2 linked regions of the Notamacropus eugenii genome follow. Each later gene encodes a partner of the first gene's protein in a complex. Links are inferred from orthologs where the notes say so. Each region holds a gene or a part of one and is shown on either strand. Other genes may lie near its edges. The genes, in order: DISP1 and SHH.

The links.
Region 2: the proteins of DISP1 (region 1) and SHH are in contact, whole or in part, in a cryo-EM structure (PDB 7E2I), measured with the Homo sapiens proteins. The link is inferred for Notamacropus eugenii from reciprocal best matches to the Homo sapiens genes DISP1 and SHH. Residues at the interface, in NP_001356523.1 of Homo sapiens: Lys242, Thr244, Gly245, Tyr246, Lys247, Ala248, Glu260, His265, Arg299, Phe336, Gly337, Asp338, Leu339, Cys340, Gln341, Arg342, Thr343, Glu459, Arg899, His904, Asp906; in NP_000184.1 of Homo sapiens: Pro49, Asn50, Val51, Thr55, Leu56, Gly57, Ala58, Arg68, Glu71, Phe73, Lys74, Leu76, Thr77, Pro78, Tyr80, Pro82, Arg96, Leu97, Gln100, Lys186.

The regions. Positions count from the first base shown.
Region 1 is NC_092873.1:413,858,308-413,874,770, reverse strand, and holds the start of DISP1 (protein dispatched homolog 1), read left to right. Parts: upstream 1-8,663; 5' UTR 8,664-8,930; intron 8,931-9,321; exon of another isoform or gene 9,322-9,430; intron 9,431-9,531; 5' UTR 9,532-9,818; intron 9,819-13,281; 5' UTR 13,282-13,643; intron 13,644-16,463. UniProt on the Homo sapiens protein: Functions in hedgehog (Hh) signaling. Regulates the release and extracellular accumulation of cholesterol-modified hedgehog proteins and is hence required for effective production of the Hh signal. Synergizes with SCUBE2 to cause an increase in SHH secretion.
Region 2 is NC_092874.1:89,219,418-89,235,646, reverse strand, and holds the start of SHH (sonic hedgehog protein), read right to left. Parts: upstream 7,012-16,229; 5' UTR 6,575-7,011; coding exon 6,266-6,574; intron 1-6,265.

The sequences.
Region 1 (16,463 bases):
CTTGACACATTTTTTTTCTTGCTTCAGAGAGTTGGAGAAGGCGTTGAAGAAAAGGCAACCTGCAATCCTGACAGCAATCAATCACTAGGATATTTATATAGAAAAATTCGCTCTTTAAGGAAGAAAAATAAATGTTCGGAAGGGAAAGTTTCAATCTAAGTTTTCCACATATAGATACCTCCTTCCCAAGGTGTAAAATTGTTGTTCTAATAAACAGGTATAAATTCACTCTGTGGTTTCAGGACAATGCTGAACTCTGGTTATTAAGATGAGAGCTGTTTCTCCATATTTAAATTACCAAATGATGGAGAGAAGGGTAGTCTAGGGAGTTAATTCCCATTGGGAAGAAAAAAAATGACTTGTTTTTCTATCTTCCTTGGAATTCACTATTGCTATTAGCAGAAGTAGGCTAACATAGTAGATAGAGTTTGGGACCTGGACTAAGGAAGACCTAGGTCTGAATCCTGCCTCTGATATCTACTAGCTGTACGATATGAACACTTAACCTCTCAGTATCTCTCTCGCACAAATCTCAGTTTCCTGATCTCTAAAATGGGAATGACAATTCCTATAATATTTACCTCTCAGGGTTGTTGTGAGTTAAATAATATTTGTAAAATGCTTCGCAAATCTTAAAGCACTACATAAATTCAACTATAATCATTAATATATAATAATGAATCACAATGTGGTTTATTTGGCGTATTAATAATGATAACCACATTCATATATAATTACATACAATATGCACATATGTATATAATTATATCAATTTAAGGTTTGCAAATCACTTTACTCGGAGCATTTCAGTTATTTCTCACAGCAACCCTCTGAGGGAGTCAGTCAGTCAACAAGCATTTATTAAGCATGCACTAAGTGCCAGGAGTTAATGTAAGTATTATTCCTATTTTACAGCAATGAAATAATAACAACACATCTATAGAATGTTTTGAGGCTTTTGGAGATCAGACAGCTAGTAAACGGGAGACCCAGCACTCCCTATTCAAACAGATAATAAGTAAGGAGGCAGAGGACTGCTGCCTCTGAACTGTCCAGGGTCTGTGGGAATATCTGAAGAAGGAGTAAAAAGAGAAAAAAACTCCCCTTTCCCTTCATTCCCACATATCATGAATTAAAGTTCATAACCTTACAAAAATACGTATCTGCTTCATTGAATTTGTGGTCTCATCCATGTGGATAACCATTTCACCTATACAGAATGAAACCCATCCAAGTCCTATTAAAAACCTTATAAAAGCAAACCAAAAACATTAAACGCATTGTAGGCGTTCTAATGTCTAAGGCAGATTTTCCGACTGCCTCAACCAAGAATGTTCTTAGCCATAAATTGAAAATGACTAAAATCAAGCTATGTTACTATGTTTCAACTAGGTTTGTGAAATGCTCACCAGTGTTAAAGGAAGTTTTGGAAGAAAAAATGAGAATTACAATGGAAATTAATAATAGTTACAAATCCCCTTCTGAACCTCTTTCCCCACTTCTCAAACTGTTAGTTCAACTGTTAACTCAAGGAGTTGAGGAAAGGATCTTCTTTAGACATCTGACATTTTCGTTGACTTGAGTTGCCAGAGGTCTGACGGGAGAATCTGATTAGTTTTATACTAATACAGAGTCAGGGAATCATACATACTTCGTTTGGAATTCCACTGAGGAGAGGTATTGTATATCTAGGTATTAGCTCTTATCCTGTTGATCAGATTGTATCTTTGGGGGGCGAGGTCAAAGTTAAGAACATTTCACGGTGACATGGGTTTTTTAGTTTTGGCTCCTGACTCCAGGAGAGGGGTTTTTGAATAATTCAGAGTGCAGTATCTACGGTAGCCACCAGGTGGCATTCTACTTTCTGGACCGACAACCCTTCCATAGGCTGTTACGGTCCCACTGGCCACTAGAGAGAACTCAAAGCCTGAACAAGTCTTCGAGCACCAGTCCCTTTTCATTTTTGTTCTACTGAAGGGCAGCTTTATTTTCTTGAGCAAGCTATTTCTTCTTGTTCCTAATCTAAGCAATGAAAATATTAATATTTAAGATAGTAGCCACCACCCATCGGGAGAATTTACTCTCTTGTTTCCCTTTGTGTCCCTTGATTTAAATATACAACGGATGCGTCACAAGAGTTTTTATAGATTTGTTAAAACAAATGAGCTTCATTACTGGCATGGAGATGGACGCTGCTGTCTATCTTTTCCTCTCCTTCCTTTCCCCTTTCTTTCCAGGTCTTTTGTGAAGGGAGGGAAAGTTTCTCTGCAAGCCCAAGGCTCACAGAGAATAAAGATACGGGAAGGGATTTTTGTCATACCTCAGCAGTAAAGGAATAGAGAGTTCATTTTAAATCAATCTGATAAAATTCACTACATCTGAGTAGTGTAGCAATGTTTATATTCTTTTTTTTTTTATAGGTGATTATGTGCAAAGTGCCAGATTCCTTTCTAATCCTTCTATCAATGAAGTATCTTTTCCAGATGACTTAAATTACAGTATCTTTAGACACAGTTCCCATAATTCAAATGATTTTTTCCCAACAAATGAGTTACAGAACAAATTGTTTCACTGTATAATGTCATTTCACTGTAAAATGCCATGTCAACAAAGTAGGAATATTGAACAATATGGAGAATATGATAGAAAACCTCAAAAAAATCTATAAAATTAATCAAAAGCAAACTTACTGCAAAGGGAAATATATTTGTACATCATACAGGACAGTTGGAAACATAGGTTAAATATTTAAGGATTTATTTTAAAAATTTGAAAGTATGTAGACTAAAGTGACAGACTTGAAACACAAATCTCAATGCAACAATCTCAGAATGAGTAATATCCCAGAATATTTAGAAAAATAAAATCTTATGACCATTGTTGTCTTCATGACCCCATCTGGGGTTTTCTTGGCAAAGATACCAAGGTGGTTTGCCATTTCCTTCTCATTTTATAAATGAGGAACTGAGGCAAACAGGGTAAGGTTAAGCAACTTGCTCAGGGTAATACAACTAGTAAGTGTCTGAGGTCAGATTTGAACTCAGGAAGAAAAAGGTCTTTGTCACTGTAGGCTAGGCATGCTATCCACTGTGCCACCTAGCTCCCAGAGTATATTCTTGGAAATTGTCAAAGAAGACCTCCAGAATTAGAAAAAAATTAATAGTGAAAAATAAATACAAGTCCATAGGAACTCAACAACCTCAAAACCCAAACAAACCAGGAATCGGCATGACTAGACACATTATTGATATAGATACATAGATATAGATAGATATATTATAGATATAAAGTCACAACATAATGTGACGAATTTTAAACTAGAAAAAGATTCAACTTGCCAGAAGGAATATAGAATTCATTTACTAAGGAACAATAATCCAGATCAGCATGGATTTTTCATGTGAAAGAAGAGACAATCAGAATAATTAGAATAGAACATGTAATTAAGTGATAAAGTCAGTATGCTTTCTGAAGGCAAGAGGGAGATATATGCAGAGCACTAGAACTTTAAAGATTTCACTGAGAAATATATGCATTTTTTAGAAACTCTATAAATATGTGCAGTGACCAACTCTGATAGACTTGGCTCTTCGCAGCAACACAAGGTAATGAGACAACTCCAAAAGACTCATGATGGAAAATGCTTATCCACATCCAGAGAAAGAATTACAGTCTGAATGCAGTTCGAAGCATACTATTTGTTCTCTCTCTTTTTTGCTTTGTTTCATCTTTCTCATTATTCATCCATTGGTTATAATTCTTTTTTACAGCATGACTAATGTGATAATGTGTTTAACATGAATGTATTAGATTGCAGGAAGTCTTGGGGAAAGGTAGGGGAGAAAATTTAAAACTCAAAAGTTTGTGGAACTGAATGTGTTAAGCTGAAAATAAATTAACAAATCAAAAATTTTAAAAAAAATGCTATAAATAATAAGCCTCCAAAAACCAAATATATAAAACAACTCACAGCTCTCTGATCAACAGGAACTAATTGCACACAAAATGAGGGAAACTTTAGAACATTGTGTTGATTAACTCATTAAATATTTCAAATGGATATTTCAAAGAAACTGGATGAAAGAACAAAAAGGGAGGGTGGCAGAGAAGAGTAATCTCAAAGCAAAACTCATATCTAATAAAGAGGAAATATAAACTAAAAAAACTTACGAAGTAGTTGAGTTAGAAGAACTTTGTTTAGAGAAGATTTGTTACGTTTGGATTAATAATGGAAATAATATGGATAGCAAAGTTTTTTTCCTTTCTGACCTGAATAACTGACCAACCAAAAATTAGAATTCTAAATGTAAATAGTCTAAGCTCTCCATTAAAATGAAAGGGATCACACAATGAAAAAAACCCCAAACAAACCATAATCCAGTTCTCTCATTTTATAACTGAAGGAAACTTAAGCCCAATCAGGCTAAGTGACATTCCCAAAGTCCCACAGGTAAATATTTCATCTGTCTATATACCTCAGTGTCCTATATCAAATTTTTCCTGGTCCCAACTCAAATTAGTTTTTACTTATTTCTATGCATGCTACATCCCTTCCCCCCCTCCCCCCCCAGGAGAGTGTAAGCTCCTTAAGAGCAGGACCTTTTTCTTCTGTCACTGGTACCTAAAATGGTACCTTACGTATAGTAGGTACTTGAAAAAGATTTAATGAGGTGGATTGCCAAGGAGAAAGCAGATTGTTGTGACCTCTAGCTGGTGAGGAGAGAGGAATAAGGAAGAGAAGAATATTGCATATAAAAAATATTTCTACTTGTATCCACAGAGTAGGGAGCTACCATTACAGAGAAAGGGAGAGGTCATTACATTCCACCCCTCCTCAAAACAAGCAGTAAAAATTTCTTTCTTTTAAACCTTATCTAGGGAAATTTCATACCTCATCATCATAACTATTACAAAAATTTTTCCTCTTATCTAACTTATGTTACTTTCATGTCCCACCTCATTTTCTTCTCTCTTAAATTTAAAGTCCTTCACAACCTTTCCACTGTCTTATCTTTTCACTTTCTTTATATATTACTCCCTCTCTTTTACTTTCTCCTGGCTTTATTCCTGACTCTCCAGACTTCTCTAACATGCCTTTAGACTTCTAATCTGGAGATCCCTCTGCCTATGCAATACACTTTCCATTGCTCTGATGGTCGAATTCCTTCTGTATCTTTCATTTTGAAGAAGAGTCTAGGCCAGTCTTTCACTCTTCTCCTGGGTCTGCTCTTGATTCTCTGGACTTTTCCCCTTTTTTCAGCTTCATTTTGTGTGGTGCTTTTCTCTTTGTTTGTTGACTGACTTACCAACTGACTCTAGCAATACCTGACTTCTTGCTGTTCACCAGTCTTCTGGCACTCTTTTCAGTGACAGTCTCCCATGCCTGGAATAAATTGTTTCTACCACTCACTTTTCCGTTTTTAATATTAAGTTTTATTTTTTTCAATGAAAAAAACCTATTTTTTCTTCCTTCCCCTTCCCCTCATTGAAAACAAATAAATAAACTAATCTTCTGTAACAAATACATATAGTTAAACAAATTAGATTCCTTGTATTGGAAAAAAGTAAATCCAAAAAGTAAATGCCCCAATCTGGGTTCTGTGCCATCACTTCTCTGTCAGGAAATAGTATATATAGACCTAAGTAAAGTCTTTGACAAAATCTCTCATTCTCTTGTGGACAAAGATGTTGTGATGAGGGTGATATGATGGTACAGTTATGTGGATTTCAAGCAAGGTTGAAAAATTGAACTAAAAAAGGGACAAGTATTTATTCACATTAGATTGATGGAAGTTTTAGTGGAATGACTCTGAAGTCATTCTTTGATACTATGCTGTTTAACATTTTTATAACTATTAACATTTATAATTGTGGGAAGATTTGTATGAACTGGCACAGACTGAAATGAGAAGAATCAGGAGAACAATTCATACAAAGACAATAATATGTCAGGCAAATAACTTTGAAATACCTCAGACAGGTAGGTAGAGAAATGGACTGCTCTCTGGTTCTGGAGTCAGAAAGTTCTGAGTTCACTCTAGCCTCAAACACTTAATAGCTGTGTGACTCTGGATAAGTCATTTAACATCTCTCAGCCTCCGTTTCCTCACCTATAAAATAGGGATAAATAATAGCACTCTACCTCTTCAGCTTGTTGTGAGGATTAAATAATACCTATAAAGCTCCTTGTAAACCTTGAAGTGCTACTGGCTGTCAACAGTATCAATCATCATTAATGTGATCAATGAAAAGACGGACCATAATTCCAGGGGCTTCTTTATAGAGTATGAGCCTCACCACCTGACAGATAGATGACAAACTACATGTTTTTTTAGATATGACCAATTTGGGAATTTGTTTTGTTTGACTAAACACATTTTTTATGAGGGTTTTCTTTTTCTATTTCCTTTTTCAAAGGGGTGGGATGGGAGAGGAAGATGGATTTTTGAAAATTGGAAGAAATAAAATTAAAAGCAAAAGAAAAAAGTCAATTTTTTTAATCAACAACTTGGCTGATGCTATAATAAATATACAGGTCAGATTTTTAAATGGCACAAAGCTAAGAGAGATAGGTAAAATGCTGAATGCAGAGTTTGGAGATAGGCAGCAAAACTGCTCCATATAACATATCAGAAAGACAACCCTAATGTCTCCCTTTTCATGTGTTCTACCTACTTTTTTTTTAAGCAGGAGTGGGAGGGAAGGGCCGCTAGGTGGCACAGTGGACGGAGTCTAGGGCAAGAATCAGGAAGATGAGTCTTCCTGAATTCAAATCTGACCTCAGACACTTACTAGTTATGTGACCCTGGACAAGTCACTTAACCCTGTTTGCCTCAGTTCCTCATTTATAACATGAGCTGGAGAAGGAAATGGCAAACTGCTCCAGTATCTCTGCCAGGAAAACCCCAAATGGTGTCATGGGGAGTCTGACATGACTAACCAACAACAACTTGCCCCTTTTTAAGATACGGAGAGAGAAGGTCAAAGAACTACTCTTTGATTCTGAAAATTAGAATGCAGAAGTACTTCTCCTCCCACCCTGAAAATATATTTGATGTATTTAACCAGGATGGAAATTCACTGAGGGATCTGGAAACTGCAGAGGGAAATAGGGCTTTTGCTGCTAATTCTCTACACCATCATTCTTGATGTAATTAAACTGATGTGTTGGAGAGCTAGATTTCAGTAACAACACTGAAATAGCTGTAAAAAGCTGTTCCAAATCAGATTTTTTTTTTTACCTTGAGGTAAGTTCTCCTCCTATTCTTGAACACCTCCCTCACTGGAGCAAGGGTCTCCTATTATATTTGGGCTATTTTTTAAAAATATGACTCAGGGGTCAGGAAATGATCAGGAAGAGCATTTTTGTTCTGAGACTTTAAAAACTGATTGGAGAGAGGCATGATGCAGAATGTTTCTGAGTCCTAGGAGACTCTCTAGTTGGCTGTTCTACTTCTCTTTATAGCTGGATTTCAGTCTGCCTTTCAGGCTAGATTGGTTTGGCACTTAGCTAGAAAATCAGAACTTTTCTCCAATCTTAACATAAATGTCTGGGGACGTAGAGCTGTATGGTGGAAAGGTCATTGGATTTGGAGTTAGTTTTGGTTGGTTGGCTCAGTCGTGTCTGACTCCTATGACCCCATTTAAGATTTTCTTGGCAACTGGAGTGGTTTACCATTTCCTTTTCCAGCTCATTTTACAGATGAGAAAACTAAGGCAAACAGGGTTATGTGACTTGCTTAGGGTTACACAGCTAGTATCTGAGGCCAGATTTAAACTCAAGAAGATGAGATTTTCTGACTCTTGAAGTTCCACCTTTGTTGCTTACTACCTGTGTGTTCAAACTAAATTGCCAAGCATTTGCTGCAGAGAGCGTAACTCCTCTGGGCTGGTCATGTTGTTCTAATGCAAAATGTACGCTTGCCAAAAAGACTATTTTATGGAGAACTCACATGGGGCAGGCAATCACATGGTGGTCAGAAGAAATGCAAGGATACTCTCAAGGTCTCTTTCAAGACCTTTGGATTTGATTGTACAATATGGGAGATACTGGCACAGGACTGCACAGAATGGCATGCCCACATCAGAAAGGGTATTATGCTCCATGAGCAAAGCAGAATTGAAACAGCACAAAGTAAATGTAAGATGAGCAAATCTGGAGTATCTACCCCCAAAATTCATATGGACTATCTGTGCCCAACCTGTGGTAGAGCATTCCGAGTTTGTATTGGTCTGATCAGCCACAGTCGGACACATTAAAACTTGACTTTATCATGGTGATGTCATTTTGGTTCTCTTGGAGAATGAAGGACAACAACCAACCAACCAACCAACCTGTGTGTACTTGAAGGCACTGAGCCTCTGTTTCCTCATTAGGAAAATAGAGAGGTTGCACTTAGATAGCTTTTGAGATCCTTTCCACTTTAAAATCTGTGCTTTGAAGATACTAATACGACCTAGATCTTTTAAAATGAAATTGGAATGTCATAAATATAAAATTCTATAGTCTGGTTCAAAATATTCATTTTTGTAACCTCGGTAACAAAGTCCATTGGTAAGAAATTCTTTCCTCCTTGGTAGAGATGAAAACCCTATTCTGCACAAAGGGTGGGGCATAGTTGATAAGAGTTTCCCTCTCTTCCATCTTCTTTGAGCCTTGTTCATGTTGTCTTCAAGCTATGAGTAGCTTTGGGCTTCCAGCTTCAAGAGGGGAGGTAGAGAAAGCCACCCCCACCTCAGGCTGCTGAAGAGAAATGCTCTTAGAAGATAAAAGAACCGGCAGTCTCCATCATTATCTGAGAAGATAAAAGAACTGGCAGTCATCATCATCAACAGGCAGCCTCCCTATCCGCAACCTGCTACATTAGAGACTGTGGTGGAGATCTCAGATTGTCTCTTTTGGTTGAGCTGAGTTATCTCCCTCTTAAGAGGTAAGCTCCTTCACTCTATATTGTTTGGTATATAAGTATGTAAGTATGTATGTATGTACACATACCTTGTCTGATTTCCATTTTGCTACCCATTTGGGTAAACGGATTTTCTTGGCTGTCTTTGTGTGCTCATTGTGGAACTGGTGTGGGTATAGAGCTTGGGGTCCTTCTCTCTCCTCCCCCCACCCCCCAGTAATGAACAGCAATCCGAAGTTAGCTTGAGTCTCATCACATCCCTTAGACTTTAAGGGAACAGATAGATATAACTTTACCCTACCAGTACTTTCTCTCTCTGAGGAGAGCAGGGGCGTCCCGCCCCTACTTTCTCTTTCTCCTCCAAGCAAGGATTAAAGTCTCCTTTGGAGAATGGTGGAGGGAAAGGAAGCTAGAGATATTTATGCTGCCTCCGTTTGATGAACCCAAGACTTCCTATGTTATATGCAGGGGACAGTCAGAGAGAGAGAGAGAGAGACTTTGTGTGACTTCCATGAACTTAACCGGTAAGAAGGAAAGAACCCTTGCTCTCCTTCTTTTACCTGTCTGAGAGACATGAGCCCGGGGGTGTTTGTTTCCGTTTCGTATTCTTTTCCTTGACTTTCAGGTGCCTGAGGTGATCCCCACCCTTGGACTAGGAGTTTGAGGCGGAGATCTTGGAGCCAGGATTGCAAGAGTGGGGCATGTAGCCCATCAGGCCAGCTTGGAAGCCCTGACAAGTCAGAATGACGGGGACTTGAGCCTCAGTGGGGCTCTGCATGTTGAATTGGGACTGGACTCTACAGAAACTGAGATAAACTGCGCACCTAACCCTCTTTCCTTCCCCAGGGACCGAGGGTTGTGCTTCCCTCGTGTTGTCGGAGGGAGTGAATTTGTGTTTGTGATACATTTGAAGTAAGTATTCTTCTGCAAAAAGCTTCCTGTGTTTGTTTAAAAAAGTACAAAACAGGAGAATAGCTGGATAACAATTCATCTGAAGAGGCTGGGTAGGAGTGGTGACGGTTTGAAGCATAGAAGTATAAATCAGCAATGGGACACAGTAGCAAAAAAAAGAAAATTAATGTCATCTTTGGCTGCATTCTGAGGCACAGTGACTAATGTGAAGGAAGTATTATTCCCACTGTGCTCTGCCTTTGTCTGGCTAGATTTGAAATACTGTGTTCAGTTCATAGTAATAATAGCTGACATTTATGACCTTGGGTGTTCCCTCAAGGCTCTATTTCTTGGGTTTAACTACTTTTTTTTTTTTTTTTGCATATAATTCCCAAATTTTCAAATCCAGCCCCAATCTCATGCCTGAACTCCAGTCAGAAATCAATAAATACCAATGGACATCTTCACCTGTATATCTATAGGTATCTCAGACTTTAAATGCCCAAACAACTTACAGTCTTCTTTCTTAGACCTATTCCTCTTCTAAACTTCTCTATTTCTGCTGAGTCATCATCATCACATTTGCAGCCTCAGATTTATCTTCTACTTTTCACTCTCACTTACCCTGACACCCAGATCCCATCAGTGGCCAAGTCTCATCAATTATACTTCCTCGATGTCTCTTACATCCATCCCTTTCTCACTTTCTATTCTGTTCCCCACTCCCACACTCAGCTCTCAACCCCTATTCCCAGCCCCATTGAAGGAAGGGAATACATTTTATTTTGTTTTTTTATTGCTAGCGTCTAGCACGATGCTTTACACATAGTAGTCACTTTTAACATGCTTATTGAATGAATATATTTTCTTATTGGATTCTTACAATAACACTTTGAGGGTAGGTGGAATGGTTATTCCATTTCTAAAACATTTTTAGAAATGCTCATTTAAAACAGCTTTTGAGAGCTAGTTTTTTCAAAATAAGGAAAATAGTTTCATTCACCTTTGGGCGTGGGATAGGGTGCAAAAATGGTTTTGCCATGTGGTACTCATCCACATATTCATCAGGTAATCATAAGTGACTTTTGGCTGATGTCTAAAATTTGAATCTATCTTCAAATAGTGAAAAATAGGATTTACCACCAACTAAGATATTCAAATGAATGTGTTGCAAGGCCCTGAAGGCACTCCCTTTTTGAGCTATGACAGTATCATGGAATAGGTGCATAGCTTACTGAGATGACTACTTTCAAAGATACACTATTTGCTTTTTCATCTCTTGCCTCAGTGACTTTGCACAGGCTGTCACAATGTTCTTCCCCTTGCCTCTTGGAATTCTTAGCTTCCTGATTCCCAGTCCAATGCTCAATCCACTGTGCCATCTACCTTCCCTTCAAGTAAAATTAATAAGTGATAATAATTATAATGAATGACAACACTAAAATGAATAATATGGTGATGGGAATTAAAGATTAAAGGGAAAGAAAGGAAGAAGACAGGATGGGAATTCCCTGGAGGGATGGGGAATAGATAAGGGAAGGAAGTGAAGCCCTGGGAGAGGAGGCCTGGAAAGGCTGACAGGCAAAGAAGAGAGAGCTAAGTCTGATGTACAGCTCCCGGCATTTTGACTCACTGTCTCCCATGCCTAGAACTCCCTACAAATCTCTGCCTCCTAACATCTCTGCTTCCTTAGTCTCGGCTAAAATCCCACCTTCTGCAAGAATCCTTAATGTTGGTGCCTTCCCTATGAGATTATCCCCAATTTATTCTGTACATATTTTGTTTGTACATAGCTTGTATGTAGTCTCGCTCATTAGATCATTAGCTCCTTGAAAGCAGGTAATGTCTCTTACCTTTTTTTTGTATCCCCAGCACTTAGCACATGCCTGGCACATAGTAGGTGCCAGGTGATTGACCAAAAGTGCATGCAACAGTCCACATTTGTGGCACCCCCATCTCTCTATTTAAAAAATGTTCAGAAATCTACTTTTTCCTCTCCGTTTACCCATGCTTTCTAATACACCAAAGTTCCTTTCTAAGCTTCAGGCACCACATTTGGGGAAGGCTGCTGATAATCTAGAAAATGTCTGAGGAGAGCAACAAGGATGGTAAAGGGCCTCCAGTCCATGTAAGGATGTTTGAAGGAACTGAAGCTGATGGAGAAAACAGAACTGGGGAGGGAGGTGGGAAGGTATGACCTACTAGACTTATTATTGTGCTTGGTTTCAGTGGTCAGGGTTGGGAGCACTTGGTGAAAGACTCTTGGTCTTGATATGTGGAAATAATTAATAATAACAAATAATTACTGTGATATGAGTACTATCTATATCATTTACTATACCTATATTTGATATAATTGATATATTAAGTATAATGCATATTATGTAAGTTATATTATATACCTCTATTTGAGATAATCTAGATCTAATATATACTTTACATAACAACATAACACAACATATAATATATAACAATATTTTACAGCATAAAATGATCATAGCATTTTATATTATAGTGTATCATTAACATAAATATATTAGTATGGCATATAATAGATTATATAAATGTAGGTATATATTTTATGATATACAGTAATTTATTATAATGAGGCATATTTAATAGAATACATAGATTATACAGAATATAGATAGATAAATGACATGGATCGTACATATATCCAAGTGCTAATAACTATTATTACTTCTACATATCAAGCCCGAGTCTTCCACCCATTGCACCCAACCCTGACCTCTGGGGTGCAGCAAGCCAAGTCTAGTACTTCTCTGAAGTAACAGCCCTTCAAATAACTTGGAAATGGTTATTATTCCTGCACACCTCCGCCCCCAGTTTTCTTTTCCCCATCAGCCTCAGTTCTGTCAATATAATATCATATATTATGTATAGATCGTATAAAATATAGATAAATTCTGTATAAATATAATAGATATCCTTCTGGAGAGGGAGGATAACTGCGTCCAAGTATTTGAAGGGGGGTTGCTTCCAAGCAGTACTAGACGCCTTTCTTTGCCCCAGAGGTCAGGTTTGGGAGCAAAGGTGGAAGATTTGGGCTTGACGTCAACAAAAAGTCATAATAATAAGAAACAATTACTTTGCTCTAAGTAATATCTGTAGTAATTGGTTGTCCACACTTGATATAAAGGCAGACATACGACGCACGCTGATCTATTACCCACAGTTGACATGTTATCTACATCGGATACAAATAGTAACAGTAACAGAAAGGGCCGGAGCTGCCCCGGCTCCTCCCCCTCGGCAGGTCTTCGGGCTGGCCAGCCCTGCTCGTGGACCTGGCTGAGGAGTTTTGGAAGGTCCAAGATCTGGCAGCACTCGAAGTACTCGGAGATCTCCCCAATCTCCGGAGTCTAAGATGGGGCGGGGGAGAGGGGGAGGGAAGAAAGAGACTCATTGTTTGCTACTTTCAGTCGGAGCCCTAACTCCGCCCCCGCTCCCGGTCTTTCTCCAGTTCGCGCCACACCCTAGCCACGCCCCCGCCCTCCCCCGCGGGAGAGCGCCTCTCCGGGCTCCCTAAGGATTCCGAGAGCCTGTTAGTGTCGAGGTGACGTAACGTGACGTCTGGGAATCGGACCGAGGACTGGCGAGACGGGGAAGGCGGGACTTCCTGCCCCACGCGGCAACCCTTTCCGTCCGGAGCCGGAAGAACAGGTCCCCGCTGGTGTTTGGGGCCCCCGGGCGGCTTGGAAGAGAAGGTGAGCTTTTGGAAACCTGGTTCCCTCCCTGGAGGAGCCCGAGCGTCTGGTCTCCTTAGAGAATGGCGCTCGGCCAGACCGCTGTCCCGGTGTCACGGGAGGGCCCGGGGGATCGGAGGTGAGGGACAGGGGACATCCCGGGCTTGGAAGGGGAGGGACCGGGGATCCCGGAGAGGGAGAGAAGGGAGGCTTGGACTGGGACTAGGGAATCCCCGGGAGCGGAGCGGAGCCCTGCGGGAGGAGGCCGGCAGAGAGCGAGAGCGGAGGAGGGAGCGCTCTGAGCGATGGGCACCTTGGAGGGCACCAGACCAGCCGGGCGTGCCCAGGAGGGAGCCCCGGAGGGCGTGGGGGGGGCAGCTGGGGATGTCATCCCGCCAGAGATGGACATTTTGCGTGGAGAATCTCTCAAGGCGGGTGGACCACTGGCCGGAGGAAGCTTCTGGCGAAGAATAGGGCAGCCCCGGTTGACCTGTAGGAGATGGGTGGAGGTGGAGCAGCTCTCCTTTGGGAATTCCCGAAGGGAAAGACTGGGGTCTCCGCTGCCAGAGGTGACAGACGCCCAGGGTTAGGGAAGCGTGTTCACCTGGGTACTGGATGTTGACCTGTCACTGCTTCATTTACAATTAATACTGTTTTTTGATATAGGTATTTTTCTGTGTGGATTTCAGGGAAAGATTTTCCAAACCCACTGAAGACTTTTGAACTCTTCTTCACCCAGGTCTAATTTCGTAGAGCTACTTGTCTTGCTTTCCGCTTTCCAATTCATTATATTGTAAAATTTCCCTTCCAACGATCAACCAGAACCGTTCTTCTTGGTTCCTTCTCACGGAGTTTGTTGTATTTTTGTTACTTTATTGCTTAATGAAAGTGTCCTCGCCACCTTTTTGTTTTCTATTGAAGAAAAATTCAGAGGCCTCCCTTTGTAGGATTTATAGTCATAGTACATTGTTTATGTTTCTTTTACACTCTGTTTCTATATTCTGACATGTCTGTTTTGATACACCAGATCATTTCCTAAATGTTGGCCTCCTGGATAGTTCCTTTAGTTAAATTCTTCAGATTAGGAGAATTACTTCTTTTCTTCCACTATTTCTTCCCCAAAAATGGTAGTTTTGAGTAGATTAGGAGACATGTTTCTTGTCACCTATTCCTCCCTCCCCAATTATGGCAGATTTGAATTAGGATGCTGTTAATAACTGGCATTTCTTAAGGAAAGACCCTTTTCCCAACTTTACTGAATCCAATATAGAGTAACAATTCTAATTGTATTGATCAGAAGATATGAGATGGTTTTAAAATATGGCATCGAAACCATTTTTCTGTCCTTTTATACCTACATTTCAGCATTTTATTTTAATTTTTCTGTCTTGTAACATGCCTACTTTTTGGTAATTTGTTACTAATCTTAATTATCTTCTGGATTATATATGTATTGTCTATTTATCTGTCCACTTATTTATAAAGAGAGGTAGAAATAGGATGACCTGAATTCAAATACTGTTTCTGACACAGGCAGTGTGAGCTTGGACCAGTCACTGAAACTCTCAATGCCTCAGGCATTGTCTGAAGGTATGATGTTGTATGACAGGTACCGAGCTGTACTAGTAGAAGGAGTTTCCTCATGGGGAATTCTCTACAGCAATGAAATCACAAGTCTGGACTGTATACATACACATACATACACACATACATATGTGAATATTATATATTATATAAATGTATACTCAATGTAATTGTGCAATCAGACTCTTTCTGGCTATTAAGTAGCTGCAATGTTGTTTGCCCAGAAATTTGCCAGTTTTAGCTAGGAAGAGCCAGAATTTCTATTACTAGTGCAAGTTGGTATTTGATGATTGGCAATTTTGCTTGTTTCAAGTGTTTGGCTTTTCAAGTATTTGCTTCTTTTACTTTGTAGGTAACTTTTAGTTTGGTTCAGTAGCCTGACTCTTAACCTTTCCATGTTAAGTAGGGAACTGCTATTTGTAGTTGACAGTGAAGTGCCTTGCCACCTTTGTTATTACCTCAAAAAGCACTTCTAGGGTGGCCCTGAAGATTTATGTTTGAGCGAGATTTAAGAGTGTTCCTGATACTGGCTTAGACATAAAACATAACATTGGCACAAACCACTGCTATAGAATATAGACTTAGTACATTGAATGCTTCCCCTTCCTTCCTTCCTCCCTTTCTCCCTTCCTCCCTTCTTCTTTCCTTCTTTCCTTCCTTCCCTCCTTCCTTCTTTTCTTCCTTCCTTCTTAAGGGGATGGAGGAATAGATGAAAAAACCCAGCAGTTCGCTAAAGTGTTTACATTAACTGCCATATTCATTCTTAGATATAGCTTTTAATTTTAATTGTTCCCTTTTCAAGTAGATAGGCCTTAATTTGATCTGTTCATCTGATAAGGCTTGGTTTTATTTTTCCATACAGTTTAGATTAAAAATTTACCCAGCCCATTTTCCCTTCGTTTCTGGGAGAAAAGCAGTTGAGAAAGCATTCGAATCTTCAAACTTTAGTTCATGCTTGGAAGGAAGTTCTCGGAGCAGAAACACAAGAACATCTGTCTTCTGGTGTAACAGTTTCTAGTAATGTATTTTGCCCTGCATTCTGAATGATTAAGATTCTTTATCCTCTGTTATAATCACAGAATAAATTTAAAGCTTTCTTACTTGTCTCTGGGTATATTGATTTCTGGTTTTATGTATACTGTCTCTGAACATTAATTTTATTATAAATAGCCACTTAATTATTTGTACACATTGGATAGAAAGGAACTTTCTATGAGCCAGCACACAGTCCTCTTGCTTTGGATATCAAATCAGAAAAGGTTGCTAGAGAGAGGCTGGGCCTAGTTTTCTCACCAACTAGCTGCTTTACAACTTGGGAGAAAATGACTTTATTTCCCTTAGTCCCAGCCTAGATTGCTTACTGTAACAGATGAGT
Region 2 (16,229 bases), on another chromosome or scaffold:
GATGAGGAAACTGAGGCCCAGAAAGGCTAAGAGTCTTGGCTAAGGTGAACTAGGTCTGTTGACTCCAAATTAAGGTTTTTCCTTTTAAACCACGAAACTGTCTGCCAGCAGTTTGAAGTTATAGTAAGAAAAGGGAGTCTTTCTGAGAATACCCAAGCACCTCACATACCTTATACTCCACCCACTTTCTAGTGCTCTCCTGCCCTATGTGTCTTCAAACTTTTCATGTTCCTCTTCTGTGGTCACAACAGCTTCCCCCATACTTGCAGGACTTTTATCTGACCCTGAGGAAACCCCTTTCAAACTAGTCCTACTACCCACCCCACACACACCCACTCCTCCAAACCAACCCTTGTTTCGGAAGAGCAAATCACTCCCTAAAGTCCTCAGAATTAGAAGTATACAGTGAGACTGGAGAGAGTCCTTGTATTTCAGAGATATGACCAAAAATACACTGTACATGTCTTAAAGAATGAAAAGTTATGATTTATCTCTGGGACCTTCCCTGCCCACCTCTAGATTTTCTGGGGTTAAGATTAAACCAAAGGTAAGAGAGAAGAATAAAGGTTGCAAGTTGATAGCAAAGTTTAGCAGGGGGAGGGAGAGGAAGAAAGGAGGGGGGAAAAGCAACTAGGTGAGTTATAATTTTCCATATGGGCCAGGGCAGGGATGACAAACATTCTTTATCTGGAGAGCCACATTCTTTTTACTCTATGGAGTTCTTTTCTGCCTGGGTTTTCTGTGGTCTGATTGAGTTTCTTGTTTTCTTTAACCTTTTCCCTTCCCTTCCCTCCCCTCTTGTTCTCTTGGCCCCAGTTTAGAATGGCGTCCAGCAAGTTTGAAGAGCAAACTGAAGAGTTGGAGGGAGGGGGTGGTGTTTCTATGTATAAAGAGGAATGGAGCTGCATGTGTGTGGGAGGGGGGGTAAGAAGGAGGATGGGGAATGAGGAAGGGAAAATGTTTCTGCAAGAAAGTCTAGAAGATAGAAAGACAAGCATTCTTTCTGTTTCTTTTCTGTCCATCTATCCATCCATCCATCCATCCATCCATCCATCCATCCATCCATCTATTCCCACACACATGCACACAGAGCATATGCCAAAATGCTCTCCTTGTAATTACTCCAATGTTATATTGGTCTTGACCTAGTCAAAGAGAATTCTAGAGGAAAACTGAAATATACTTTTGGGATATGGGGACTGAGCTTCCCAGGTAACTTTCCTAACTTCACTTCCTTCAGTCAGGTCAGAACTATAACTAAAAGAAAGCTGTGGGAAGATTTAACTGAATGAATGGAGAAAATTGAAAAAAGAAGTTGGTAATGGAGGATAATGATTGGGAGGTTTGAGAAGGGGGTGGTGACGGTGAATTTTGTGTCTCCAGGAGATATAGGATAGGGTGCCTTTTTTCTAGCCAGAGTCAGAAACCAGGAACAGAAGCAGAGACTGTAGAAGAACTGGAGGTGACTTTAGCCAAGGCGCCTGGACTGGCCCTCAGTGACTGCCAGGGCTGTTTGCTGTTAACTTCTCCGAAGACTAGAGACGATGCTTGACTTTCTCCCAGACAAGTCTCCCCAAAGAGGCTACCAATATGTAAAATCGCCCACCACAAAGGAGCCCTTTACAACAGCTTGTTAGAAAGTCTTTTGGGGACGGGGTAGCAGGGAGGTAGCTGGGTGGGGGGGGGGGGGGGGTTGGAGGCCGAAGTGCACAGTGGGGGTGGAAGTGGGGTGAAGGTGGAAGGAGACGGAAGCCTTATAGTATTCCTACTCCACAGTTTTCAAGGGAATTTGACATGATTGCTTAACAGGAAAGGTTCTGTGTATTTGGCAGCAATAAAAACGGTAATATAGTTGTGGGAGTTAAACATAAAAGAAAAACAAGAAGCAGCAGGGGGAAAAACAGGCTAGCCCTCGCAGGATTCTGAGGCTGCTAGACTTTTTTTTTTTCTTAATGGAAGAAGAGTTTGAGTGAGGTCACCACGAGGATGACACGCACTTTACGTGGAAGACCAGCGATTGAAACCACGCTGGATTTCTAGCTTGGGAGAGTAAGCCCGCCCCGCGGCCACGGGTGCACGTGCGCACATATACAAACACGCATACCCACGCACGGCTTCTCTTCCCTACCCGGGGTCTTTCCCGACTCACTTCACAGTCTCGGTCCCCACCAGACTGTGAATCTTTAAACAGCCCGGGGCAATCTAGGCTCCCATTCCGGGATCGAGATCTCTAACTTAAGCTGGGCCATTCGGAAGTGAGCACAAGGATGCACTCAGAGGAAGAAGGATACGGGTGTGGAGTGGGGAATGGGGATGGAGGCAGTGGGGGTGGAACGTGGGGATTTGGCAAGAGCCCCCCCCCCCCCATCCTTTTAATTCTTTCTGGTAAAAGGAGAAGTACCACTACCACCACCCCCATCACCACCACCTTCTCCTCCTCCTCCTCCTGCTGCTGCTGCTGCTGCTGGCTGAAGGACTCTCACTCTATACTGGCTGAGCTGGATTGTCGGAGTCAAAAGCCGTGAAGCTCAGACAATTTATTAATTCACTGGGTCGTGTGCCACGAATCAAGCCCAATTCTGTTCACTCACCGTGAAGCCCAGCAGGGCCGCCTCAGCTCGGGCTTTTGTGTCAGCCGAAGCAAAGTAGTTCAACACGCCCCAGCTCTCTGCCAAGCGCCTAACCTCTCTCTACACAAATGAATGCTCGGAGGAAAACACTTAGCAGGTACCTGTCAACTGTAAACAACTTGGTGGGTTTCCCATAAAGAGGGCCACCCTAAACTTCAAAAGATCCACAACCCGCAAAATCATACCCTACATACGTCTCCTGTCCTACTTAACTAAGAAAAAACACCCCCTCCCATCAAAGTTCCCCCTCTTCCCCCATATTTCAACATTCCCTTTCCCTAACTTGATTGCAAAGCAGACGGGACATGCGTCAATTTCAGGCCACTTCCCTACTTCCCCCTCCATACAGGTCCGACTTCCCTTACTAGCTTCCCGCTGTCCCCCTTTCAGACCATTGCCCCCCCTAAGACTGGGGACCTGACCTGCCTGAGCCTGTAAGCGATGTCCGTCTGCGTTTCCCCCTTCCCTTGAGTTAATATTAACCAGTAGCTAATGCGTTCAGGAACGGTTCTCAAAGTTCCACTGGGGAAGATCTCGCCATGGTTGAGGGACTTGTGAAGCAACACACACACACACACACACACACACACACACACACACACACACACACACGGGTGTTTGGTCTAACTCAGGGAGACCGCCTGCTGAACCCCAGTTCAGAAGACACGTCTTTGCAGAGAAACTGATCACCAGTCTTCCCATCCCCCCACTTCCAGATCAACAGGATATTATTATATCTCACAACTACACCCCAACAACAATGACTTCCTTCCCCCCCCATCACACTTTTCACTGGGGGAGCCCAGAGAACAGGATATTAGGAAGGGTGTAGGGTGGAAGAGAGAAACCAGGTGACTGGACTGAGTCCTCAGCTCTTCTTTCTTCCCACTACCATGCATTATTTTTAGGGTACTTCCATGGGGGCAGCGTTACGGGGACTTGAGTTCCCCTCCCTCCAGCAATCCTTCTGGCTCTTGCCCACCCCCCACCCCCCCCATCTTTTGTGTCGGGAACAGGACTAGCCAACGCTCTGGTGTGCGTGTGTGCGCAAGGGAAGGGGGGAACTTATTTGTTTTCGTTTCGTTCGTCTGAGGGAAGTTGACAGAAGGTCAGAAGTTCAAATGCTGCCGGCCAATGGCAGCCAGAGTGGTCAAGCCCGTAGCAGGCTTGGCGCTGAATTCCCTGGGAAGGGCTAGCAGTTGAGGGGGCGGGGAAGGACGGACAGAGGTAGACGAGGGAAAGGTCGGAGGGGGATGCAGAATCAGTGAGGTGGGGGTGAAAGGGAGAGAAGACCAGGATTCTGGAGAGGCTGGGGAAGGGGCTGCAGAAGAGGAGAGAAGGGGAAAGAAGGAATGAAAAGACGCAGAGCAGTGAAAGAGAAAGCAGACAGGCTATTAGCAGTCCTCCTTCGGAGCTTGCTCTCCAGCTATGTACCCAGCCCTTTAAAACATCTTCACCACACCCCTCCTACCTTCTCCTCCTCCTCCTCCTGCCGCCGCCGCCGCTGCCGCCTGCTCCTCCTCAACCCTCGCCTAGTCAGCCCCCCCCCAGCAGCTTTATTTAATTATTATCATTATAGTATTATTATTATTATCATCACCATCGTTCTAGTGATGCAGCTAATTCGCGGGCGTGATCTTTTAAGGGAGGGGAAGGGTTTCTTTCCTTCGGGTTTAAGAGAATCTGGACTCGTGACGGCGGCAGCGGCAGCAGCAGCAGTAGCAGCAGCCCCAGCCTCTGTCGTATTAGAAAGGATACAAGCTGAAACCCTAGCCGTGGCGATCGATAAAGAAGGAGTAAGTGGAGCTGAAAATGCGTCTGACTTGGCGTACAGCTCCGTTGCCTTGCAGCTTTTCTGAAAGGCTGCGATGACTGAGGGCTGTAAGCACCCGGGAACTGAGGTCTGGTGGGCGGTGGGGGCCAGGGATGGGTGAAACGGGCTCTCGGGCTGTCTGTCAGGCGGGCTTCCACAAACGAGAGCAACTATTAACAGGGTTCTGAGCCAGGAACCTCCGGCCCCCCACCCCCACCCCATCCTACCTCCGATCCTGAGCCATCTCACTACAGCCCAGCCCCCCGCCCCCAGTGGGTTTATGAGCAGCCAGAGGCAGGCTAGGGACAGAGGTTGGGGTTGGGGCGGAGGGAGTGAAAGCTCCTGCCCAAGCAAGCTGGCAAACTCAGTCCAGCACGCTGCACTCAACCTGCACACTGTGGCCTGTACATAATTGAGGCTCACGCTTTTATCTGCCTACAAGAGCCCGCGTCAACGCTCTAGGTAAGATTTAAGGTGGTCGAGAGCAGATGAGGAAGAGAGGCTAAGGACACCCTTTAAAATAGAAGTCATCTTTCAGGACAGTCTTTTTTCCTGCCCCTCAATAAACCGAGGACTTGGGGGATTGAATAGGGTTGGGAGGGGGGGAAATCATTACCAACTCCGACCCCCCCCCCCCAACTTTCCACCCCCACTAGTGCGGTTCCTCCAACCTCATTGCGTTGCTAGCACCAAAGGTGGGACTTAAATATTTTAATAGGGCAATAAAAATGATATTGACCTATATTTGCAAGGAAAACCATTTCCAGCTTATTAGATCTATGGAGTTTCAGAAAGTCCGTGACTGGCGGTCGAATTTGCTTTTCAGACATCTCAATGTGGGAAGGGAAGTACGAAGGGAACGTTTGTTTTGCGGTTTCTTCCTTTTTCTTTTTTTAAAGATAAAATAAATAACAAGCCTAAGATAGTTCTGCATTCCATCTTTCCACTATTCCCTTTCCCCATCCCCCACCCAATATTTATTCGGTTGTAATTCTTGAGCAATCTGATTTAAAAGAGAGTGATGCAATGCTAATAAGTTATAAGTCCCTCCCCTAAGGTACCACGGGCGACGGGAGAAAGAGAGCATCCTTAAAGAAATATCAATATATTCACACTCCGATGGGCACAATTGCAAAACGGTATTGCAATACAAGCTACATAATACAGAAATGGGAGAGCAATAGCTGTGGCTGAAGCCACACTGCCTTTTGTCAGAACAGCCTCCCCTGGCCTGCCGAATTAAGAATTTATTTGAGATGTGGGAAGAGTGGGGGTGAGAAAGGAAATAAAAATGGAGATAGAGAAAAAGTGTCTTAAGATCTAATACTCAAAGAGACAGTAATCCTGATGTGGTGGTCACTGTATATTGGGGGGGGGGGACGGATTCCCCCTTCTTCCATCTCTCTGATTTCTATTCCCTCTCCACCTCCTTTCCTCCCCAAGCAACAAGGACAGACTCAAGGAGCCGAATGCCCTAAAAGCTGAGCTCTCCCTAGCAAGTTGCATGACAGGGCTGAGACAGGATAGGAAGTAGCAGACCAATAACACAGAAATCAAATCAATGACATAAAACCCGAGCTCAACTGCACTCTCCCCACCCCCATTCCTACCCCCAAACTTCTCTAAGCTCTACTTATAATATGGATTCTTTGAGAAAGAGGAAGGGTGATGGGGTAGGTGGCTAAGGAGGGAAAGGGATATTATCTTAAAACTGAGAAGAAAAAAAGGACAGAGGCTCATTCTGTGAGCGCTTCCTTTCACATTTTCCTTGCCTTTCAAAGAAACATATTAAACGCCACACATGGATGGATGGGGTTTCTACCTGAGTCATCAGCCGGTCCGCTCCGGTGTTCTCTTCATCCTTAAATATAATGTCAGGATTGTAATTGGGGGTGAGTTCTTTAAATCGCTCGGAGTTTCTGGAGATCTTCCCTTCGTATCTTCCACTAGCCCCTAGGGTCTTCTCCGCCACGTTGGGGATAAACTGCTTGTAGGCTAAGGGGGTCAGCTTCTTGGGGTGGCGCCTCTTTCCAAATCCCCTGCCAGGTCCGCACGCCAGCCCCGAGGACATTAAGAGGGAAGAGACGAGAACCACCAGCAGAAATCTCGTCAGTAGCAGCATCTCGTCCATTGAATCCAGTTACTTCAAAGCTTCCTTGGTGTGTGTGTGTATGTGTGTGTGTGTGTGTATGTGTATATGTGTGTGTGCGCGCGCCTTTGCGCGTGTCTATCTCAGACTGTCTCCTTAGGTCTCGGTCTCTCTCTCTCTCTCTCTCTCTCTCTCTCTCTCTCTCTCTCTCTCTCTCTCTCTCCTCTCTCCCTCTCCCTCTCTCTCTCCCTCTCTCTCTCTCCTCCCTTCCTCCCTCTCTTCTCTTTCCTTTTCTCTTTTCTCCCTCTCAATAAGCCTTTGCTTCCTTGCTGATTCCTTCAACTATCCACCGATCCCTATCGAGACAGGTGCTGAAATGGCAGGCTGCCGGTCGCTGATAACGGAACACATCGGAGTTGGGTCGCGAGACAGCAATCAAAAGACAAAAAGACTCTGATTTTAATGGTAGCAAGCCTAGAAACGCTTGTGAGAGAAGCCTGCCTTTAGCACTATATTATAGCTGGCAGGGACCACATCTGATTGGCCGAGGCGAGACAGCCTGTCTTCTGATTTAACCCTCAAAAAGGCAACAAAATGTTTCTTCTGTTGCTGCTGCTGCAGCTTGCTGCTGCTGCTGCCGCCGCCGCACTTTCACCTGAGGGCTTGGGCGGGGGGGGTGGGGGGGTGTAGAGGGGGGGGGGGAAGAAAAAAGAAAAGAAAGGGGGAGGGGAAGAACACAAAGTGAATTGTATCGTAGTGAGGTAGAATCTGATTTATTAGGATAACATAAATTACATGATTTTTCTTCTTAAACTTTCCTGAGAAAGGTAAATTTGTCAAGTAAAGTAATAGATGCTTCTGTTAGACAACCTTTTAGGAAGTTTCATACGAGTGCAATTTTTAAAGACAGTTCATTCTTCCTTCTGTCTCATTCCCCTCGCCCTTCACTCCCAGTCAAACCTTGATCATCAGACAAATGTTCAATGAAAACCATGAGTGCAACACGGCTGATTTATACAAATCCCTTTTAGTGACTTTATCAGGAAGGCAAGATTTCTCTCTCTCTCTCTCTCTCTCTCTCTCTCTCTCTCTCTCTCTCTCTCTCTCTCTCTCTCTCTCTCTCTCTCTCTCCTTCTCCCTCTGTTTAAAAGCAACAATATCTTTCCACAAGAGGGAAGAGCCTTTGGCCACTGAAGAAAGCATCCTTGGAAGTAGACTAAGGTTAGCTGTGGACTTAGAAGTGTGTGTGTGGGGGGGCGAGTGTGATTATAACTGGAAATGTCTGAGAGGACTGTTACTTGAAATACTTTAACTGTTAACACAAAATGCTTGAAACACAGTCAAAGTTGAAATAGATGTACACCTCTTCAAACCTTGCAGAACAGGAGAGTGAGAGAACAGATGCCCTGGCACCAGGTCATACTACCCAGTGCCCAAACTAAAGTGGTGTGTTCAAGCTAAGAGGTATTAGGGAACTAGACCCCCCCCACCCCCACCCCAGCTCCAAGAAGAAGGGAATGGGGGGGGGAGGGAAGCGGTGTGGGAAGAGAGTTATTTCCTCTTGAAGGACAGCAATCTTTTGGTAGAGCTTCGCAAACAGCCCCACAGATCGATCGGAGCAAAGTGCAGGGCAAGGGGATGAGTTTAATGTTAAATTCAGGGCTCTCTTCAGCGTAGTGCAGCGATGTCTTTATTCTGGGCTCCCAAAATTATCTGCCAGACCTAAAGTGACTAGAGAGAAGCCGAGTCGCTGGAAATCGGAGTTGGGGTGGGGTGGGGGCAGGAGGAGGCTTAATTCAAAAGCATTTTCTCTAAGGAACAGTCACGTCCCTTTACAAGAAACAACTCCCAAACCAGCAGCATTGGCCTTAGATCTCTGAATCTTTACAAAGTCAGTTCCTTGTACCTCCACACTCATTTCAGAGAAAGTTCCATTTAAATCAGAAAAACATGGAATTTCTAAGCGTCCCATTTGAAGAACATGGTATTTCTTATTTATTCTTTTTGAAAAGAAAAAAAAAGACTACTACTGGGGTGGAAGGAACTGAGGGTCGTAGGAGTACATATGAGAGATAGAACTAAAACTATACACTAAGAAATAATCAGATACTCTGAAAGAAATGAGACCAAAAAAAAGAATACAAATATGTGGGATGGGGAGAAGAAAGTAAATAAAGGTCTCCCAGACCTCAAAGTTTTAACTCCCTCGGCAATGCGGTAAATTGGGTAGGTCTATGAAATATTCCATCGCAATAACCTTTGAGGAGGGGGTAGTGGTGGAAATTAACACTCTTATGGCATTTCCAAAATGGGACACAAGCTCTTGCCTCTTCCCGCCTCCCGTTTTTTTTTTTTTTAATAGTCCCCTCCATTCAGATCTTTACAAAGTACAAAGCCTGGTCCCCCTATCCTACGACTCAGGAAGAGATCTGAACAGGCCCTGGGTAGCTGGAAAACACCTTCCCAACTCTATCAATTAAAGGACGGATCTGTGTTAAAAGTTCCCGGGTTAGCTCCAGACAGATAGACCTCAGCTGACAAGTCGGTGTTTTAACTTTTTGCAGTGTGTGTGTGTGTGTGTGTGTGTGTGTGTGTGTGTGTGTGTACTCAACCCGTGAAAATAGATACAAGAAAGATATAACGTTATATCCCAAAGAAGGTATGGTCGTTTGATGTGGTTACCTGGCGCAGCACGTGTTGATGTAATATGATTAAATAGTGCCAGGGAATAAGAAGTGATCCTGCCTGTGTGGAATATTGCACACCTTTTGATCACCCTCCCCCGCCCTGGCACGTCTCTCTCTTTCCTTCCCCTCCCTTTTTCCACCCCCGCTTCCCCGCCCCACCCCCAACTTCACAAATAAATAAATTAATTAATTAATAAACACATCACTTGATCGCTTTTCCCCACTGGCCACTTCATTCGCGAGCCCGGCAGTGAAGGAGTGAAGTCTAGAATCCCGGGGAACCTCCTCATTAGCCGGCTTTCCATACATACAAAGCAGTCAGCCAGAGAGCAACAGGCAAGGAAAGAGGAGGAATTAATTAAATGCAAATCATAAATGCACGTGGAAAAACCCCAAACCGACAACATAGAGGGTTGGCTTTTTACTTTTTTATTTTTTTATTACCGTGTGTGTGTGTGTGTGTGTGTGTGTGTGTGTGTGTGTGTGTGTGTGTGTGTGTGTAAAAGCCAAGAGTTGAAAATCTCAAGTCAGAAGTTAGAGAAAGCGGAGGTCTGGGTGGGAGGGGAAAGGGTCGGGGTTGAGCATGCTGCAGTTTCAGTTTGCGTCCCCAGCCCAGATTCTGAGATCTGGCTGAACTGCTGCATTGCCTCTTCCTTCTCCGTCTCCCTAAGAGAGGACAGGCAGGGGACCCAGCTTGGCGTGGCCCATCGGATAGCTCAAAGGTTGATTTAAAGTCGCCAGGATCCCTCACAGCTTCTGTCGGTAGCAATGCGACATCCCTGCCTTCTCCCCAATCCTCCCTCCCAGTATCTTCCTCTCCTCCACCTTCCCCTACACCGGGAAAGAATGATGTCAGGAGCTGGATGGATTGTCAAGTCTTAAAATAATGATGAGGGTAATGAGGATGAAGGGAAAGCCCAGACAGGATCCAATACTGATGCCCTCGTCAGTTGCATCGATCTCTCGGTCATGAATTGGGGTGTGGAGGGTGGTAAAAGGAGAAAACAAAATAAAAAAAAAAGATTCCACAATGCTCACAGTCTCATCGTCTAAGAAAACCGAGGGTCTGGTTGTTTCTTGGGAAACACTTTCAGTCAAAGTGCTGGAGGTGGATGAAGCAGGGGCAAACAGCTCCTCTTCGTCCCAGACCCCTCCCCCTACTGTCTCTCTCCCCCCTCCTTTCATCTCACCGACACCCTTCCCATTTCCCAGACACCAGACACTCTTTCTGTCTTCCACCTCCAGACACCAGATGGCTCTCTCCCTTTTCCTCCCCCACCCACTTCCAGACAAGCCAGGCCCCTCCCTTTGCCTGACTGTCAGTCCCAAATCCCAGCCTATTCCTTCTGCCTGTCAGCAAGTCCCATTCTCTGCTTCCACTCCACCTGGGTTTCCCCCATCCATCCATCCATCCATCCATCCATCCATCCATCCATCCCACTAGAGGACAGGTGACCTCCCTTTGGATTCTACCCCCAAGCCCCCAGATGGCGCCCTTCCTTGAAACAGCTCCTACTGTCTCCCCCTTTCAGCCCCAGACACTAGATGGCCCCCTCACTCTGCCTTCAGATTAAACATGGAGGGCTCAAGCCTTGGCCTGGTTTTCCAAACCAAAACAAGGTGCCTGAGATAACCTGGAGGCCCTGGGAAGATAGGCTGACCTTTGTCATGGAAATCCTTGAGAAGATAGACTGACCCTCCCACTCCACTGCCCTCTTCCCCAACCATCATCATGCCACCTGTACTTTCTCTTTATCCCATGAGATTTATGCTGGAGTGCTCTAATGCTTCTCTCCATTTACCTCTATTTCCTAGTCTCCAGCTCCAACGTTACATTTACCAATTGGGATAACCTCCTCCTCCCCTTTGGCATCTCCATTAGTTCTGTACATTCTCCTTCCCTTCAGTAATGATCATCTCAATCTTGCCTCAGCTTCATCAGCTCTGATTTCCATCAGTCCTATATTTCCCCTTCTGTGCTTCTAACTCCCCCCGCCCCACCACTGCCTACTCTTAGGGTTGCCTTGTATGCATTTCTGAGGAAAGCATCTGACCCTTACCTCCATAAAGTAGATGCCTCCATAGGGTATAGAGGTGACAGTGGGTTCTCCGAGGCTAGACCAGCAGAAGGAAGTCCTGGAGGGTCCTACCAAGCTGAAAAGCCCAGTCAATGCTTCTGTCAACCAAGGACTTAGATATGTTTTAAAAGACTCATCATCTCAAGATAGGATACTAAGTTATGCTTTTTTCCTACTATAGCAATGAATAAATGAATGGATAAAGCATTTATTAAACACTTTAATGTGATACAAAGAGACAATGAAAATAGACTGATCTCAAATTCACTAAGAATGAAAGGTTTCAGATTCAAGTCAAATAGAAAAGTCCCATGCTCCTCAGGGTGCCATGACAAAGCAGACATTAATGCTTCTTGAATGTCATTCTATCAATTTCTGATGTTGAACTATTTGTCAGTGCCAAGGACTTTGGTGGTAAGAACTTTCTTTTCTAGGTCTTTAATAGCTTGACTGCAGCACTTGTAGGAACAGTTGCCAGGCTGCATTTCCACAAGGACTGCTTCCCAGAATGATGGCTGAGATGGTTGAGGGCACTAGGCTGGAAGCATTGCTGTTTCCAAAACTCTTGGGCTCAGGCTTCTGGACTGCCTCCATCAGGGTCTGAAGGGAGATGGTTGCCAAGGTGGTGGTGGTTGTTTGACTTGCTTGTCTTTCTCTTAGGGTGCTTGATTCAGTAAGACTGGCTTTCCTGTCAGTCTGGGTGATAGATAGTTACTTTTGGAGACTGTCTACTAAGGGGTCACATTTTTTTATTAGTGACAGAAATACACAAATGAAATCATACATCCAAGAAGTGCTACTCAACTCATAATTTTGGCAGTTCCCTTCACCATGGCAGTTCCCAAGATCAAAGAATATAGAGATTATCAAGTCCAGAAGTTTTTAACCTTTTTTGTGTCTTGGACCGTTTTTGGCAGCCTGGTAGTCTATAGCTCCCTATTCAGATTAATGCTATTAAATGCATAAAATAATATACACAGGATGATAAAGGAAACCAATTATATTGAAATACAGTTACCAAATGATGAAAGAAACAAGTTCACAGACCCCAGCTGAAGAACCTCTGGTTATAAGTCCAGCTCTCTAATTTTATAGATCAACCAATCCATAACCATTTAGCAGGCTCCAACTATGTTCTAAGCCCTGGTCTAGGCCCAGGATACTCAAATAGATCTGTGATCTCATAGATTTTGAAATTCCCTCCAGCAGTGCATTAGCAGCCCATTCATGTCTGCCAATTCCATTCTACTTTGGTCCACATCTTTCTATATGTTTGCCACAGGGAGTTCACCTAATATATTAGAGGCCTTCCTCAATTTCTTCTTACATTGTAAGGGTACCACGGAAGCACTCTCTTATCTTGATACAGGCAGGACCAAACCATTCCTTTCATATAATTAATTCCTTGGTAACATTTCTTATTCTTTTTCTTCAGAATTCCTCAGTGATTATTTCTTGCAGCCACCTCATACCCACCAGGAAAGTCTCCATTGCCTTTTATGATATTAATTTTTGATTCTTTGGAGAAAAGCTATTATATATATCTGCCATACAGCAGTATTGGTAGAATGTTGATATTTAAAAGATAGGCTTTTGCTTTCATGGGAAACTTGGAGTCATTAAAGAAACCTGACAATTTTCAAAGACTTTCTTTTCTCCTGTTCAACTGGGTCCCATTAGCTGTTCATTCTTGAAACAAAGGTACTCAGAATACAAAGACAGAAATGAAACAGTCCTTGAATTCAAAGAACTGCCAACGTGCTTCCAGGGAGAAAGAACCTTGGCTCTGGAGTTCACAGGCACTGTCTCTGACATGTACTACCTTTGGACCCTTAAGGAAATCACTTTATTTCTCTTGGACCTTAGTTTATTTATATATAAAATGAGGGTTTTTTAAAATTAATTATCCTCTGAGGTATTTTTTAGCTCTAGAGCTATGATCCCAATAAAGCCTTTTTTAATGTATGTAGTCAGTAACAAGCCTGAGGTTTGAAACCTTCTCCTTTCATGTCCAGCATTATGTCCATGACATCACACTTCCTCCATGTATCCTGGGAAGATGCTAAGCACTGGGCCCTTGGGATTAGTGGGAATAAGGTGACTGTCTTCAACAGCCAAGTCGTGTTCATAGTTCTCATTGCATCTTCCTCCCACACTACCAGGCCAAAGAAAAAGACACAAAAAACCCTATAGACTGTCAAGGAGAATCACCCATTGGTGGGTAGCACCAGCTCTTCATTAGATGTGGCTGAGAACCCAGCAAGGAGTCACCTCCTTTCATTTTGATTCCCATGAAAGTGAAGGGCTGGGGAAGTTACTTCCATTCCCATGGGCCAGAGTTCAGGAGGACAGAGGCATCTCCTCAGCATCCTTAGATCAGGGTCAGCAGCGGCAGCATCTAAGGAACTAAATGCCACTGCAGCAGCAGGTTTGCCTCTCATTCCCACTTGTAGTGGGATAAAGGGTTCTACTGCAGCCCAAGAAAGCAAGAGGAGCAATGGTTCTGTTTGGTCCTATGGTCTGTGTTTATATGCGCTTGGCTGGCTAATCCTAGATGTGGAGGACAATGTGGTTTTGGCAGAAAAGATACTGCACCAGAAGGTGTGAAACCTGCATTTTAGGCTTGATTGCCTGTTCTCTCTGTCTCCCTTCTTCTCATACACACACACACACACACACACTCCTTTTTAAAATTTATTTATTTTTAGTTTTCAACATTGACTTCCATAAGTTTTACAATTTTCCCCTCCCTCCCCTCTCCTTCCCCAAGGTAACCTGTAATCTGATACAGGCTTTACATATGCATTCCTATTAAATATAACACATACTCTCTTTCACATACACAAACACACAAAGACTCTCTCTCTCACACACATACACACAAACATGCACACACAAACTCCCACATAACACTGGTAGGAAAAACTACTTTAACCTTCCTGGGTCTCAGTTTCTTGATCTGTAAAATGGGAATAATAATACCTCACTTTTATTGGAAAACAATATACTCATGAAGGTTACGATCTATGACTTTTAGTGGATCCTCCGTTCCCTCATAGTACATTCTATTCCACATAAGGCAGACCCATACTAGCAATACAAAGCCAGCATGATCATAAACCTTGCTTTTCTGTGGTGATTTATGCTTTCCAAAACACCTTCATATGTGTGATAGCATCTGAGCCACACAATAATCTGATGAGGTAGGACAGGTTCCCATTTTACAGATAAGGAGACTAAGATACAGGCTCAACGACTTGCTTAAGGCCACACAACTAGTTAGTGACAAAGATGAGGCCCCTTGAAATAACAGGCCAACAAAGGCAGGAAATAATTAAGGATGAACACTCAACTTGAAATATGCAGCCTTGTGCATATGTGTTTAAAGTACTGGCCCCTCCCTTATCTTTACTGAGTATAAGAGTTTAATTTAACTTGGGATGAAGGCTACAAAATTGACTTGGAGGAGTTAGTTAATCTCACATAATCCTCAGATCTTGAATTTGAGGACTTTTTAGATTTGAAGACATTGCTAGTTGGATACTGACATCCTTCTTTGCCCCTTGACTGAATAAATTTGCCTCTTTGGGTCTCAGTTTTCTTGATTGCAAAATGAGGAGGTTGACTTAGATGATTGCTGAGGTTGCCTTCAGCTCTAAATCCTATCTTCTATGACACCCCACTACCACTTCTGCTGGTGACAGGATATTTCAGCTCAGCACCATTAGATATGGCAAATATAACTACAAAAGGAGGGCACTTGAATTCTGAAAGGCACCGATAGGCAATTAAGTTACATTCAGGCACCATGGAGATTCCTACAGGCAGCAGGAGGCTGGTGGCCAAGCAGAGCAGCTCCCCAGAACAGGGAAAACCTGGGCAGATACACACTAATATCGTGTTTCTCTATTGTGTTGTGTAGAATTCCACATGATCCTGAACTTTCCAGAAAGGAAGAATAAAGAATGATCGTCCCAGGTAATCCCATGACTGTCATTTAGTTTTGGAAGTCTAGCCAGTCAGTCAGTAAAACTTAAGTGCCTACTATGTGCCAGGTACTGTACTGAGCACTGGGGATCCTAGTTCACCAAAGGCAAAAGACAGCTCCTGCTATAACTGTATCTCTATTTTATTTCCCTAGAGGGAATGAAGAGGAGGAAAAGTTTTGCTAAAGGAATGTTATCACAATGGCACCCATCAGCCCCACCAGGATTAACTTTACACATAGGAAAAATAGGAAGTATCTATATCTATCTATCTATCTATCTATCTATCTATCTATCTATCTATCTATCTATCTATCTGTCTGTCTGTCTGTCTATCACAACCATGTTGTGATTTGGGAAATGCTGGGAAGGCCCAATTGCCCTCTCAACTTTCTTCTTTCCCTGCTAAAGCTTCAATTTTCTTTGCCAGAACTTGATTCCTTTACTTTGAAGCAATGTACTGTGGTAGAAGGCTTTTTGGCTTTCATGTCAGAAGTCTTGGATTTTCATTCAGTTATTTCATTTCCTACCTGTGTGACCTTGGGGAAGTCATTCAACCTCACTGGCCTCAGTTTCCTTATTTGTAAAATGGGGATAATAACTACCTGTAGCAGAGGAAGTTTGATAGAGGAAATTCTTCACCAGGAGTTTCTTTCCCTAATGAAATCATGAGTCTAGCTCCCAAGTCATTCAACCCTTTTATAGTAATTCCCTTACAAAGGTGTTAGGAGGCACAAATAATACATATACATATACATATACATATACATACACACATATATGTCTATGTATATATGCACACATATACATTATATATAACTTTGTAAACTTTAAGATATTATGTAACATAAGCTATTATTTTCATCTCATTCTACTATGATTTTCTGCTAAATAAGGGGTTCAAAGTAACCTCTGAGGCTCCTGAAAGAGAAAGCCTGGAGCACTG